Mus musculus: one gene and its partner. The protein of the gene in region 2 interacts with the protein of the main gene of each other region in a biochemical or structural test. Links are inferred from orthologs where the notes say so. Each region holds a gene or a part of one and is shown on either strand. Other genes may lie near its edges. The genes, in order: Ckb and Arih2.

The links.
Region 1: of the proteins of Arih2 (region 2) and Ckb, one has a biochemical effect on the other in vitro, tested with the Homo sapiens proteins (2 studies listed by BioGRID). The link is inferred for Mus musculus from reciprocal best matches to the Homo sapiens genes ARIH2 and CKB.

What each region holds. Positions count from the first base shown.
Region 1 is NC_000078.6:111,668,239-111,675,427, forward strand, and holds Ckb (creatine kinase B-type), read right to left. Parts: upstream 4,101-7,189; 5' UTR 3,992-4,100; intron 3,736-3,991; 5' UTR 3,721-3,735; coding exon 3,528-3,720; intron 3,342-3,527; coding exon 3,187-3,341; intron 3,110-3,186; coding exon 2,977-3,109; intron 2,807-2,976; coding exon 2,635-2,806; intron 2,048-2,634; coding exon 1,924-2,047; intron 1,777-1,923; coding exon 1,587-1,776; intron 1,504-1,586; coding exon 1,325-1,503; 3' UTR 1,117-1,324; downstream 1-1,116. UniProt on the Homo sapiens protein: Reversibly catalyzes the transfer of phosphate between ATP and various phosphogens (e.g. creatine phosphate).
Region 2 is NC_000075.6:108,645,467-108,652,677, forward strand, and holds the start of Arih2 (E3 ubiquitin-protein ligase ARIH2), read right to left. Parts: upstream 3,943-7,211; 5' UTR 3,763-3,942; intron 3,131-3,762; exon of another isoform or gene 3,105-3,130; intron 635-3,104; exon of another isoform or gene 466-634; intron 1-465.

The DNA of each region.
Region 1 (7,189 bases), on a different chromosome or scaffold from region 2:
GAGAGATGCAGAGATCTCTTGACCCTTTTGTGCTTCTAGGGAACCTGCCCTGTCCTATGTCCAGCCCACCCCCAGTGAGGTGCATTCAAACAGCATGATACAGAGGTCAGTACTCAACTAGAGTTTCCCCAGCCTAGACACCACCTAGATGAGCCCATAGCTGGAGTCTGGCCATTGAAGCAAACCCCAGACAGAACATAACCTCTGTAGCTCATAGCTCAGCCTTGCCTCCTGTCTCCTGGGTCTGAGTATGATGTCTGGGTTGACCAGGTAAGCCTGTGATGAGCCTGACCAGCAGGTGGCAGCACAAGACTGTCCTCTTGGAAGAGTCACTGTGGGGGCGGGGAACTGTAGTCCCAGCCCCTGGCTGCTGTTTTTTCCTTTCTCGGCTTTCAAATGTGGGCCAGATCTTTTCATGAGGCCCAACCAGGATAAGCCGCCATGAAGGCAGCCAAGCCTCATTTGTGCCCAGGAGCCCTGATGTGAGCCTTGGGGTACCTCCCCTTTGACCTGTCCACAGACAGGGACGGGTCACGACAGAGCCCCTCTAACTACTGTTCCCTCTCCTAGATGACGTGGCATAAAAGCTCGAAGTGGAAGCAGAGGGTTGTCTCCTCCCAACCACTAGGGCCCCAGAGAGGAAGCTAGCTGCAAATGAGAGGGACGGGACAGGGGCTAGAGAGCTGGGGGCGGGGGGGGGGGCGGTGAGGAGGAGGCACCTCGACCTGAGGACGATGGAAGCTGGAGGAAGCAGGGAGAGGGTTATTTAGGAACTGGAGTAGGGGTTGGAGCCTGGAGGGGGAGGAAGTGAGGAGGTAAAACTTTGGCTCTTCAGGCTGCCAGGAAGACAGCAGAAAGAAACTGGGGAAGATGTCAAGTTTCTGACTCCTTTAGCTGGCTGGGACTAAGGAAACACTAGGCTCCACCCTGCAAGCACAGATGTCCTTAGATGCTCAGGCTGGACTCAGAGCCTCCCTCCCTCTCTGCCCTGTATCTTCTATGGCTCATGTTTCATCTGCTAGGTGAGATGACACAGAAGGCCAGCGCGCGCACACACACACACACACATACATACACACACACACACACTGTCCCTAGGAAAGGAGAAGCAACACTCAGAAATAGGGCAGGCCAAACCCTAGTTTATTTTCAGTGTCAGCAACAGCTTAGCCATCAAAAAAATAAACTCTACCCAGGGCGACAGAAGTCTCTACAGCGAGGCTAAGGGCTCAGCCGCCAGGCGGCAAACATCAAGGATGCATGGCGGGCACTGCCCGGTTAATAAGTTAGGAAGCGGCAGCCTGATGGTGGCGAGGGCCAGGCTTCACTTCTGGGCCGGCATGAGGTCATCGATTGCCTGACCCTGCTCCAGCCGTTGCTCCATCTCAATGAGTAGTTTCACTCCGTCCACCACCATCTGCACCAGTTCCACCTCCGAGAAGCCCAGGCGGTCAGCGTTGGAGACATCAAACACCCCACCGACAGCAGCGGTGTCCACGCCACCTGCGGTGGGACATGGGCAGGTCAGCGGGGCTGAGGACAACACCTGCACCTTCTGCCCCTCACCTGTGCCTTCTGCCCCTCACCTGTGCCTCGCTTCTGAAGCCGCAGCCGCTTGAGCACCTCCGAGAACTTCTCGTGCTTCCCCAGGTGGGGCAGCTTGATGTGCACACCTGCCCGCAGTCCGGTGCCCAGGTTGGATGGGCATGTGAGGATGTAGCCCAGGTGAGGATTCCACATGAACTCATAGTTCTTGGACTTGAAGAGAGTTTCGATCTGAAGGTGGAGAAGGGAGAGTTAAGAGAAGGAAGCCTGGCCGGAAGCCCTACGGACCCTGGGAGATGTGGGCTCTGATCTGCCCCTGATCCCTCCCCAGCACCAACGCCCCTAGTGAGGAAGCCCTGGGGAATGCCCAGGCCTGACCTGAGTGAGGCCGGTGCAGAATCGGGTGAACACTTCCTTCATGTTGCCCCCCTTCTGCATGGAGATGACTCGCAGGTGGTCCTCCTCGTTAATCCACACCAGGAAAGTCTTATTGTCATTGTGCCTAGAAGAGGGGTAAAGTCAGGCTGGAGTCCCTGCCAGAATGTGGCCTTAGATCACACCCAAGAAAGACACTATAGGTGGGTGACCTCAAACAAAATGCTTCCTCAACAAAGTGCTGGAATGTGAGCTGTCACCAAGACGCCAATCCCAGCAACAGTGGAGGAAGGCAGCTCATATACATCTCAATCACCAGTCATGTGCTGTGTGGCCCGCAAGGGTCTGGAGCCTCCAGAGCATCCCACCAGAGGAAGCACGCCTCCGCCCGCTCAGTCTGCAGGGGTAGGAGCCCTGCCCGGACGGGTGCGGAGGCTTTTGCGTCATTGGCACCTGGCACGATCCCGGCGGAATAAGGGGGTGAGAAGGTGGAGAGAAAACAAGAAGCGCCGGCTCCCAGGAGGAGGGCGGAGAACAGACGCCAAAGAGACTGGTCACCACCCTTGAGTCCCTGGAGACTGCGGCCTCCCGCAGCGCAAGGACCACAGTCATCCGCAGAACCAAGGTCACCTGGGCGGAGGGAGGCACTGCACAAACTAGGAATTCAGGGCAGGCCCCACCTTCTAGGGACTGGGGGGGGGGGGGGGCTCGTACCATATGCCACGAGCATCCGGCCAGTCCCGGGCCATGCCGGAGGCCAGCAGCAGAGGCGACACAGGCTTATCGAAGAGGAAGTGGTCGTCAATGAGCTGCTGCTGCTCCGCCTCAGTCATGCTCTTGAGCGCGTAGTACCTGCCAGACAGGTCGCCATCTAGGCTGGACAGAGCTGCGGAGTGCAGAGTTCAAGGACAGGGTGGGCGGGCGAGCAAGCCCGCCGCCCCGCCTGCAGCAGTGTGTCCCCGCGGGCGAAGGTGGGTCTTCGACCCTCAGTCCCCAGTGGGAACGCGCGCGCAGAGAAGAGCGCAGCAGCTCTGGAGGCTGTTACCCGACCCCTACCTTCTACTGCCAGCTTCTCGATGGCGCGGCGCTCCCCGCGGCTGCAGTGCGGGGGGAGACAGAAGCCGCGGATGCTGCGGCCTGTGCGCACTCGCGAGCTCAGCACGTAGTTGGGGTCCAGGTCATCGCCACCCTGGGAATACAAGGTGGTGGCTAGAGTGAGCGCCGAGACCCCTCTCCCCAGCACGCCCGGACCCTGATTCCCCGCACCTGCAGGTTGTCTGGGTTGAGGTCGGTCTTGTGCTCATCACTGGGCTGGTAGCCGCCGTGCCGCTCCTCAATAATGGGGTCGAAGAGGTCCTTGAATACGTCGTAACTCTCCTCGTCGCCCGCCACTGCACCCACAGTCATGATGTACGGGTGGCCTGGAGGAGGGGCGCGGCGACAGTGACGTCACCGTCAGGCAGGAGCAAGCCGAGGCTCTTAAGGCTAAGCGCGGAGAGGGGAACAGGGGACCCCAGCCCACCGAAGGTTCAGGGAAGAGCAGTGGGATCCTTGCCCGGGGGGCTTCTTGGGGAGGCGGAAGCCTGACGCTACAGGGGTGTGCATACCCGGATTGTCTACGCCAGTCTGAATGGCGTCGTCCAAAGTAAAGCCGCTCGGCGTGCACTTGGCACGGAGCTCGGCGTACAGCTCCGGGGTCAGCACCTTGGCCATATGGTTGTTGTGGCTGCTCAGATCAGGGAACTCATCCTCGGCCGGGAAGCGCAGCTTCTGCGTATTATGGCTGTTGGAGAAGGGCATGGCGGCGGCAGCGGGCTGCAGGGAAGAGCGGGGTCAGAGGAGATTTAAACACCGGCCGCCAGGGACCTGCAAACCACTTGGGACCCCCGAGACTTTCCCTGGACGCCACCAAGGTCAGCGAGGTCTGCATCGTCAGAGTCCAGCGCATCCCAAGTTCCCGGGCGGGTCCGATGAGCGCTCCCGGCAGCGAGGCTGCGCGTGATGCCCCGGTCCCGCACCCCACAGCGTAGAGCCCCGCAGGACTATACCCCTGGCCCTTGGACCCGCTCACCGGGATGCCGGACGAAGCAGGGGCGATGGATGCCTGTGCTTGCAGCTCCTGGCGCAGCGCAGAAGAACGACGGCTGCTCGCTGCTCCCTGAGCTCTTAAGGGGCGCGTCGCCGGCCTCCCATTGGCGGCTATTTATAGCCCATTCATTCCATTGGTCCGCGCTTTGGGGTGGTGCCGCCGCTTTGTCCGAGGCAGCAGCCCTTGACACCCCCAGCGGCCCACCCTAGCGGTCCCCAAGTCTCGACCCCGCTGCGCAGTTTGGCCACCCCGGTGGTGCTCGCACAGGATCCCTAAGACGAAACCCCAGAGCCATAGATATCCTAGACCTGCTTCACACACACTGCCGGGGGCAGGAAACTGAGTCTGGGAAGCCAGATGGCACTTGAGGCTCCTGCCTTCCCTGTCTCCTCAGGCCGACTGCGTTGTAGAGAGGGTCATGGTGAGAGTCCAGGTTTTTAACATTGGGTACAGCATCCAAACACCGCATCCAGGCCATATCCTCAAGAGCCACAGAGCCGCCGACCTTCCTCAAGGTGCCTGCGGGCATCTCCTGGGTGTTCTTGGTGCAACACCAGAGGCGCAGTCTGGCTGAGGTCCCGCCCGGAAGCACCCAGGGTGTTCTGACCTTGGGCGGGCTCTAAGGAACACCGCCAAGACCCTTGGACCCAGACCCTGAAAGATTCAAGACATTTAGTTCCTAGAGACTGTTTTTGAATCTCCAAATTCTCATCTCCTGTCCCTTTTCTCGGGGGACCGGTTTCTACCACCGCACCCACAAAGAACTCCCCAACACCGGCAGGCAAACTGGGGGTGGAGGAAGCACCAGTCAAAATTAAGCTCATTAATCAGATCCAACACATTGAAACAGTCTCTCTCCCCGTGCCACCCCCCCCCACACACACACACAGGGGAAACCTGGAATTTGACCACAGCCAGTGCCAGGTGTGAATTGGAATGTGTGAAGATAGGCGTTCGCACCTTGCCTGCTGCAGCTGCCAGCAGCTTCATCTTTTTCTGGAAAGTAATTTGGCAGTATTTGTTAAAAAATTTTTAAATTGCTCTATGACCTAGCATTCCCACTTCTAGGAATGCAGCCTACAGAAAGACGGTGTCCCTTCTCTACAAACAGATCAGGAAACGTGTAGAGGGAGAAAGTTTGGATTCGATCTGATGCTCATTAGGGAATGGTCGTGGGTAGAAAAGTGTGGTAGATGGTGCAGTTGATACAAATAGAGAGGTGAGGTCCTGCGTGGCGGCACACCCTTTCTTTTTTTCTTTTTCTTTTTTGGTTTGTTTGTTTGTTTAAGACAGGGTTTCTCTGTGTAGCCCTGGCTGTCCTGGAACTCACTCTGTAGACCAGGCTGGCCTCGAACTCAGAAATTCGCCTGCCTCTGCCTCACAAGTGCTGGGATTAAAGGCATGGGCCACCACGTCCAGCTGCAGCACACCCTTTCAATCCAAGCACGAGGAAGGCAGAGACAAGCAGATCTCTGTGAGATCCCTCAGGCAGATCCTTCCTCTAAAAAGAGAGTCCAGAACAGCCCTGTCTCAAAAAAAAATCAGTATCTGTGCTTTCATATTTAATGTTCACTCACAGCCACTCACTCACTCCTGGGCTAATAAAGCAAGAACAAGAGAAGCCTTCATCCTTGCATGTTTGACAGAATATCTTCAGTCATTTGTCTTTGACAGTTTCTCTCTCTAGCCTTGGAACTCACTTTGTAGACCAAGCAGGTCTCAGAGCTCTGCCTGCCTCTGTTTATCCACTTGTGGACTTAAAGGCATGCTCCATCCTGCTCTGAGGGATTGCAGTCCAAAGCCTAGCTTCAGAGAACTAATGGCACACTTACGCCCCAGAGGAAAAGAAGCTGAAGATGGCTTTGAGGGAGACTGCTCCCCCTGAGCCTCCAGCCACACATGAGGTGCTAGATGCAAGGAACGTGCAACAAAAAGTGCACAGGAGGCACAGGGACCCTGCCTTTCTGTGGAGGCAGGCTGCCTGGAGGAGCGAACTGTGTGAGGTATGACAGGAATTCCAGGCTGAGATAGAATGTGCAGGTGCCTGGGGAGAAGACTGGAGTGAAGAACTCGGGGCAGAAAGACTGCCTGCCTGCCTCTGCCTGGGTAGAGTTGAAAAGTCACCTCTGTTCTGTCCCCAGGGCTACTACAGAGACTCCTCCTGTTTTTCACTCACCTTGGCCAGCTTTAACCTATTGTGTTTTGAGACAAGATCCCATAAACCAGGCTCTTTCTGTCTCAGCATCCCAAGTTCTAATATGGGACTGAACCACTATGCCCAGGTCAAGCCACTTGGGGGGGGGGGTTCAAGACAGGGTTTCTCAGTATAGCCCTGGCTATCCTGGAACTCACTTTGTAGACCAGGCTGGCCTCGAACTCAGAAATCCGCCTGCCTCTGCCTCCTGAGTGCTGGGATTAAAAGTGTACGCCACCATGCCCGGCTCAAGTCACTATTTTGTAAGCCAATAAAACAACCTCACATGGGAGCTGGAGAGATAGCTCAGTGGTTAAGAGCTCCGACTGCTCTTCTGAAGGTCTTGAGTTCAAATCCCAGCAACCACATGGTGACTCACAATCATTCGTAATGAGATCTGATGCCCTCTTCTGGTATGTCTGAAGACAGTTACAGTGTACTTACATATAAAATAAATAAATTAAAAAAAAAAAAAACCTCACATAAGGAGGTATTCCAGCAGTCAGGAAGAAGAGGCAGATGTATATCTGTGTATTAAGTTCAGCCTAGTCTACATAGTGCATTCTGGGGCAGTCAGGGTTACAAAGAGAGACCCTGTCTCAAAAAAAAAAAAAAAAAAGGGAAAAGGGAGGGGCAGGAAGATTAAGAATCAAGGCCAGCCTGGGCTCCAGGAGTCCTAGTCTTTGGCTAGACAGCAGGTGTGCCCTCAGCCTGTATTCTGTGCTCCCGGCAGCCTCTCCCCATCTCAGATATATCTGCAGCTGCCTACCCAGTCCCTACCCCTTTCAGGGAAGCTGGTTCTGCTTAGCCTCAAGTGCTCAAGTTTCTATTTTAGAAATAGGAAGCGAACTTGTTATCTAGGCTGGAGGTGGGGGTAGGGGGCTCAGGGCTTCCTCTTTGTCTCCAGGATTTGCAGCTTAGCCTTTTCTCCTTCCTTACCCCTTTTTATCTCCCTGCCAGAGCAAGACCAGGACTCTGGTAGAGGT
Region 2 (7,211 bases):
ATATACTCAATATAGATAAAGTAAACAAATCTAAAATAAACAAATAAGTAAATAATAAAGGTCTTCAAGGTTGGCAGCAAGTGCTTTTTTTCTGCTGTGCTGTCCCATAAGCCCACTTTTGTGTGTGTGTGTGATAGGATCTAGATACGTATCCTAGATCTATAGGTATGTGTCACTATACCCAGTTTGCAAACTAGCATTACTTACCTAGCAGTGGGAGGACTGAATCCAGCTAACTAGGTAAGCACTTTACTTCCTCAAGCCCTCTACCCCCCAACCCAGATCCATACTCTCTAAGTAGCTATGGACGACCTGGAACTGTGTCCAAGCTGGCCTTGAACTCACAGAAATCAGACTGTCTCTGCCTCTTGAGTGCAGGGATTAAAAATATGCACCACATGCAGAACCCTGTGTTACTTTTTGGGACAAAGTCTTATTAAGTTGACTAGCTAGCCTGAAACTCACCTTATTTGAGGTAGGGTTTGTATTACCAATGTATAAACCAGGCTAGTTGGCCCAAAGACCTGCCAGAGTCTCCTGTCTCCACCTCCCACAGTTGCATAGGAAAACTGGAAGTACACACTTCAGTGCCTAGGTTTATATGATGGCACACGCTTGTAATCCTAAAAGCTGTGAGGTGGAAGGAGGATCAAGGTCATCAAGATGTCTCAGCTTTACAATAAAAATGCACCCAATTAGGCAATAGTAATATCTATCTCCATCTTTACTCTGTGACCATCAACATAAGCTACTCCTGAAACTCGGTTCACGAACGGAACTGAGTGGAAATTCTGAGTGCTTGCAAGAAAACTCTTAGAAAATAGATTCTTTGTTTGTTTGTTTTTCGATTTTCGAGACAGGGTTTCTCTGTGTAGCCCTGGCTGTCCTAGAGCTCACTCTGTAGACCAGGCTGGCCTCGAACTCAGAAATCTGCCTGCCTCTGCCTCCCAAGTGCTGGGATTAAAGGCATAGATTCGTACGACCTCAGTTTCTTCACAGAACTGTTCTTGGAATGTATTCTCCTGTTCTCGCAAGTGTAGCTTAACAGTTTCCTCATACTGTTTGTTGTTACTCAATTAAATGTGTAAACTATCCACATTTGGCTGGTCCTTGTGATCTTACTCATATGGTTTCTCTTAACCCTCAGAGTATAAATTATTCAGAGTATAAATGCTCTGAATAAAGTTGGTTATTTAATGAAACTTTTGTCTCTCTCATTTATCAGGTCCCACTGACTCTAGAGTGGTAAACATGCTACCATACCCAGTCACCTCATATTACAAAGGCCACCTGGTTTTTCTAGACACATGGATCCTACTATCCAAGACTTGTAAAATATTAATTTTTTCATGTCTATTGCGTTTCTTTAGGATTTCTTGGGCAACCAGAGCTTATAACTACCAAAGAATACTTTGATTATAGATAGGAAAATACAAAATTAAAGATCAAAGTCTGAACAAATAGCATGGAAAATTATTTCCCAAATAATGGAATAGCCAGACATTGTAGTGCACCAGGGAGGCAAAAGCAGGTGGGTCTGAGTTTGAAGCCACCCTGATCTACAGAGCTAGTTCCAGGACAGCCAGGGCTACGGAGGGGGAAAGGAAAAAAAAAGGGGGGGGGTAAGAGGGGGGGAATGGGCTTACAATGGCCAGGTGAGGTGGTGCAAATCTACACCTTTAATTCCAGACTGGTAAATTCAATGAGTTGCATGGTGAGATGCTGTCTCAAACAGAGGCTTACAAATGAAGCTGGGATTGATAATGCTGAAGTATCTTGCCTAGGATCATACAAAGTCAACTAGCAGAGGCAGCATCAGAATTCCATTCTAAGCAGATTCTAGCCATCACTCTCAGGAGGCCTGATTTAAAGCTACAGAAATCTCACTAACTAAAGAGCATACCCTTTCAAATTCTGATTTCTCCTTAGGATCTGTCGAGAACATGGCTCACAGCTTTTTCACCAACCAAATAACCAAGTAGATGGGAATCCAGGTTCTTTAAAAGAATTGACTGTTTCATATACTTCCTGGTGTTCTAGATTCAGATCTAAATAAAGCTTTTTTAAAATAAAAATTTTATAAACACACATATTTTTGATACAAGGTCTCACTATGATGATGTCTGTCCTCAAACTCACAAGAGCACAGCTTCCTAAATGGCCAGACTAAAGGTGAGTGACACCATTAGGCTCTGTTAAGAGATTCCTGAAGGAAGGCTGGCCTTGCTGAGCTTAGTGGCACATTCTGGGATCCCCAACTTAGGAGTGTCAGCAGGAGGATCAAAAGTGGGAGACACTGGCTGGGCGTGGTGGCGCACGCCTTTAATCCCAGCACTTGGGAGGCAGAGGCAGGTGAATTTCTGAGTTTGAGGCCAGCCTGGTCTACAGAGTGAGTTCCAGGACAGCCAGGGCTATACAGAGAAACCCTGTCTCAAAAAAAAAAAAAAAAAAAGTGGGAGACACTGTCTCAAAATAAAGCACGCAAGAAAACTGAATCCTGACTTTGTTCAAAGGGCCAATGTGTTATTTTCTTAATGTCAAAGTATTCAAGATGTTAAATATGACTATCTCAGAGAGAAATGGTACAAAATTAGTACTTTTTCCAAGAGTTAAAGTCATCTTCAAAAAAACCTGCCACTCATTTTGAGCTGGTTTCCAAGACATGGCCACATACAAAAGGATAAAGACCTTTTAGTTTGAAGTTGACAGGAACACAAAAAAATTGGCTAGTCGCACAGATGTTTAACTCCAGTTGTAACACTTGGCCCTCAGTAGTCATTTATTAACTACATTTCGAAGAAAACTTCTTGGCTGAAAAATATGAATCAGCAACTTGTTTAAAAACTCAGCAGCATCCCGGGCGTGGTAGTGCAAGCCTTCAATGCCAGCACTTGAGAGGCAGAAGCAGGTGAGTTCGAGTTCGGCCCAGTCTACACAGTGAGTTCCTTGACAGCCATGACTATGTAGACACTGTCTAAAAACAACCAACTCGACACCGCATCTGTCCTAATAATGGCAGGTAGCCGCCGATTACATGGAGTTATTGAAAGTTAGTTTACTTTTAAAAAGTCAAATGTAGTTTCTCAGATATACTAACTACATACATGTCAACACGAAAGCCGTGTGTGGCTTAATGGCTACCATACTGAACAGCAAAGGTCTAGAACGTGTTCGTCGCCGACAGAAAGTTCTACGAGACAGAGTAACAAACAGAAGAACTAAGGCGAGCTCGTCCGAGAACACCACCGCCTCTCTTGAGGCTAGACCAGTGGCGTCGGGCGTGACCGGTCGCACGTCTCTGCGAGGCGCCCCGGTCTTCGCGCGGACACGGAACCCACGCGCGGGGAGGCCCTTTCCCAGGACGGGCGTTAACAAACAGTGCGGCTGGCGCTGCCAAAGCTCCCAACCACCAGAGAAACGGGGAGCCTCCGAGGCGGTGCGTTCGCCTGGAGCGCCCAGAAGGGCAGGCCCGAGCGCACCCGAGCCTCGCGGGCCAGAGGCCCTGGCCTCCGACCTCTCGGGGAGCTAAAGAGCCAACGAGGAAGAGGAACCCAGGAGAGACGCCAGGCACCCGCCGGCGCGGGCTGTCGCCTCCGGGAGTGCCTATCAGTCGGCGGGGAACGTCGGGACCTGGGACGGCCCGGCCTCGCAAGCGGCGGCGAAGGCGGAGCCCGGACCGCGCCGGCGAAACGCGCGGGGATCCCCCCCCTCCCGGCGGCCAGTCAAGAGTAAACAAGGCCTCGACTCCCGCCGCGCACTTACCGGGAGCCGCGACCTCGCGGCCGCAGAGCCCAGGCCGGCCGGACCAGGTCAAGCCAGACCAAACCAGGCTGACGGAGGCGTAGCGGCAGCGGAGGCAGCCGGCGGACGCGGCTCAGGCCCGCGCAGCTTCCTCCGGCAGAGCCGTCCCCCGCAGCTCCGGAAGTGTTCTGCGCCGCGCGTCACTTCCGGTAGGGGTCGACCTGCGGTCGCCCTGGAGGCTCCCAGGCTTCTGACGACTGCGTAGTCGGTTGGAATCGCTTCCTCACCATCCTCTAGCGAGAGCCCCTGGGAGGAACTACTGAGCGTTCGCTTTTGAAGGAATGATGTAGGAATTTGTTTCCTGCGTTATAGCCTACCAGTGTCTTTATTCGATAGTTAGTTTTAGGTTTTCTTGCGTGTATTTTGTGTGTGTCGCACGGCTCGCGTGCAGAAGAGGTCAGAGGACAATTTTCCGGGAGCAGTTTTTCTCCTTCCACCATGTGGGTTTCGAGGATCAAACACTTGTCAGGCGTGGCAGTAAGCGCTTTTTACCCACTGAGCCATCAGACCCTTAGATGAGGTATTTTTAGCTTTTTTTTTTTTTTTTTCCCCTGACCAGACGTCTACCCACTTCACTGTTTATACTCTGACGAACAGCGTGAGAAGACATTCTGGCAACACTGGAGTAGGTTAAAAAGATCATAGTTTCCGGGCAACTATGGTTTGACATGAGCCATACTCGGAATTTCTACGTACGTTAGGAGGAAGTTCTGGCCCATGAGCAATCAGACTTTAGTTTCTCATGACACTATCCCCCTAGCCACCCACTTCTCCGACTTCCACTCACCTTCACGACGGGTATTTTTTGTTTGGTGTGGTTATATTTAGAAGCAACTCACTATATAGCCAAGGCTGGTTTGCCTTGCTAGATTACCAGACCCAGAGATTCATACATCGTAAGTGTTTCGCTGCACAACTTCTACCCACGATATAGACTGCATTAGGACTCCAGTCACCAAGTTCTGGTCACCAAGCCTTGTTGTGGACTGATAGGAGGCTCGCTCAAGTAGCAACTCCATCGAGATGTTAATTACTGGAGTGAAGCCAGAGGCACTGTGAGGTAAATCAATGTTCGTGCAAATCTGTAGATAACCTAGTTCTACCTTTTCTGGAGTGTATGTATTGGTATTCAAGACACCCGGAAAAGTGAGGCAGAAAGAAAAAAGACCGTGTAATAGCCTCTTTTATGTAATTCTTGGAAAAAATATAACTGAAGAGACTTGGGAGTTGGCTGGGCCATTAAGAGCTCTTGCTGTTCTCTCCAGAAACCTGAGGTCCTTGCCCACTATTGATAATGTCCAGGGGATCCGAAGCCCTCTTTGAACCTCTTCCGGCACACACATACTTGTAAACAGAAAATTAAAAAAAAAATTTTTTTTTCTTTTTTGAGAAAAGTTCTCACTATATATCCCTGGATAACCTGAAGCTCTGTACAGACCTAAAACTTACAAACTCACATGTGTGCAGCCACACAATCTACTTAAAATATCTACAAATTTGGGTCATGAATCAAAATCAGGGGTAATCAAATGTTGAAAGTCGCTAGAACAAGAATAGCACTTGGGGTGCAAAGGCTAGGGGAATCATTGAAAGTTCCAGGCCTCGGGAGGCAGAGGCAGGTGGATTTCTGAGTTCAAGGCCAGCCTGGTCTACAGAATGAGTTCCAGGACAGCCAGGACTGCACAGAGAAAAAAAAAAAAAAAAAAAAAGAAAGTAAGTTCCAGGCCAACCTGGTCTACATACTAAGTGCCAGGCTGCCCAACAAGGCAGCCAGAGGTACATGATCAGTAATTATCTTTAACAACAACAAAAAAAGTAGCTGGGCAGTGGTGACACACGCCTTTAATCCCAGCACTTGGGAGACAGAGGCAGGCAGATTTCTGAGTTTGAGGCCAGCCTGGTCTACAGAGTGAGTTCTAGGACATCCAGGGCTATACAGAGAAACCCTGTCTCAAAAAACAAAAAACAAAAAAACAAAACAAAAAAACTGTGCCACTTGCTTTTACAGAGAAGATTCACGTCAATTGATAAAATGTCTTCATTAAATTGGCCTGTAACGAAGACATTTTCTTGATTAATGATTGATGTAGGAGGATCCAGCCCACTATCAACAGTGCCATCTCTGGATGGGTGGTCCTGGCAGTAAAAGATTGGAAACTAAAGCTAGGCAGTGGTGGCACATGCCTTTAATCCTAGCACTTAGGAGGTAGATAGAGCTCTGAGTTCCAGCAAGACCATCCTGGTCTGTGAATCAAGTTCCAGGACAGCCAGGGCTACACAGAGAGACTATATCTTGAGAGAAAGAGAGAGAGAGAGAGAGAGAGAGAGAGAGAGCGCTCAAGCAAGTGAGAGCGAGCAGGCTGAGCAATCCATGGGATCAAACTAGTGAGCCATGCTCTTCCCTTATCCCTGCTTAGGTTTCTGCCTCAAGTTCTTGCCCTAATTTCCTTCTATGAGGGACTATAAGCTAAAAGATGAGATAAATTTTTTCCTCTTCAAATTGCTTTTTGTCATAGCCTTTATCACAGCAATAGAACACAAATCTGGACAAGCCGTGAACTTGGGTACTTGAGTTGACAAAACATATGCATATCACGATGGTCCCTGTGAAGGATCCAAATCATATTTCCTGAAAACTAGTTTCCAGTGATGACTTTGAGTTACTGGTAACAGACCCACTGCAGTGAGTACTAGAGAGGAACGGTCCGTCTGTAGAAGTATTTTACCTGCAAACTACAGAATGTGGGTGCTCACTTATCAAGTCCCATTTTGTATGAGAGACCTCATGGAACCTTGGGTTTTGGTTTGGAGTCCCGGGACCAATTCCAACCCCGTTTCACTGTAGGTACTGTGGGACAGTTGTCCTCAGGATTCCAGTACCTCCCACGTACACGCACTGGATGGTGACTAAGAGCACTTCCACTCTTTCCAGAGGACCCGAGTTCAGTTCCTAACATCCACATGTAAGTTCAGGACTGCCTTTTTCTAGCCTCCACAGGCTCAAGTGCAAATGTGGTACACATATACTCACAGAGGCTCACACACATACACATATTTTCAAAAGTTTAGATTCACCCTCAAGCTCCAGTACGGCAACATAAAATGGCTCACCTACAACCTCCTGAGCTTACATGTGCCATACCATAGGTACATATGGCTTTCCAGTGTCCAAGGTTTGAACCAACATCATGAAGTTCATCCCAATTTGTGGCATGGTACTACACCTTAAACCTGGACAAGATACCCAAAAAGCTGAGTGAGGGCCATGAGACATCAGCTGAGACATCACTACAAGAAAACACATCTTCATTGTTCTGCAGAGATCTGCTCAAAATGGTGGGTCACTACCTAGTGATTGTTATATATGTGATAATAACAGGAAAAGCATGTTAATAGTAATCTTTCCAAAA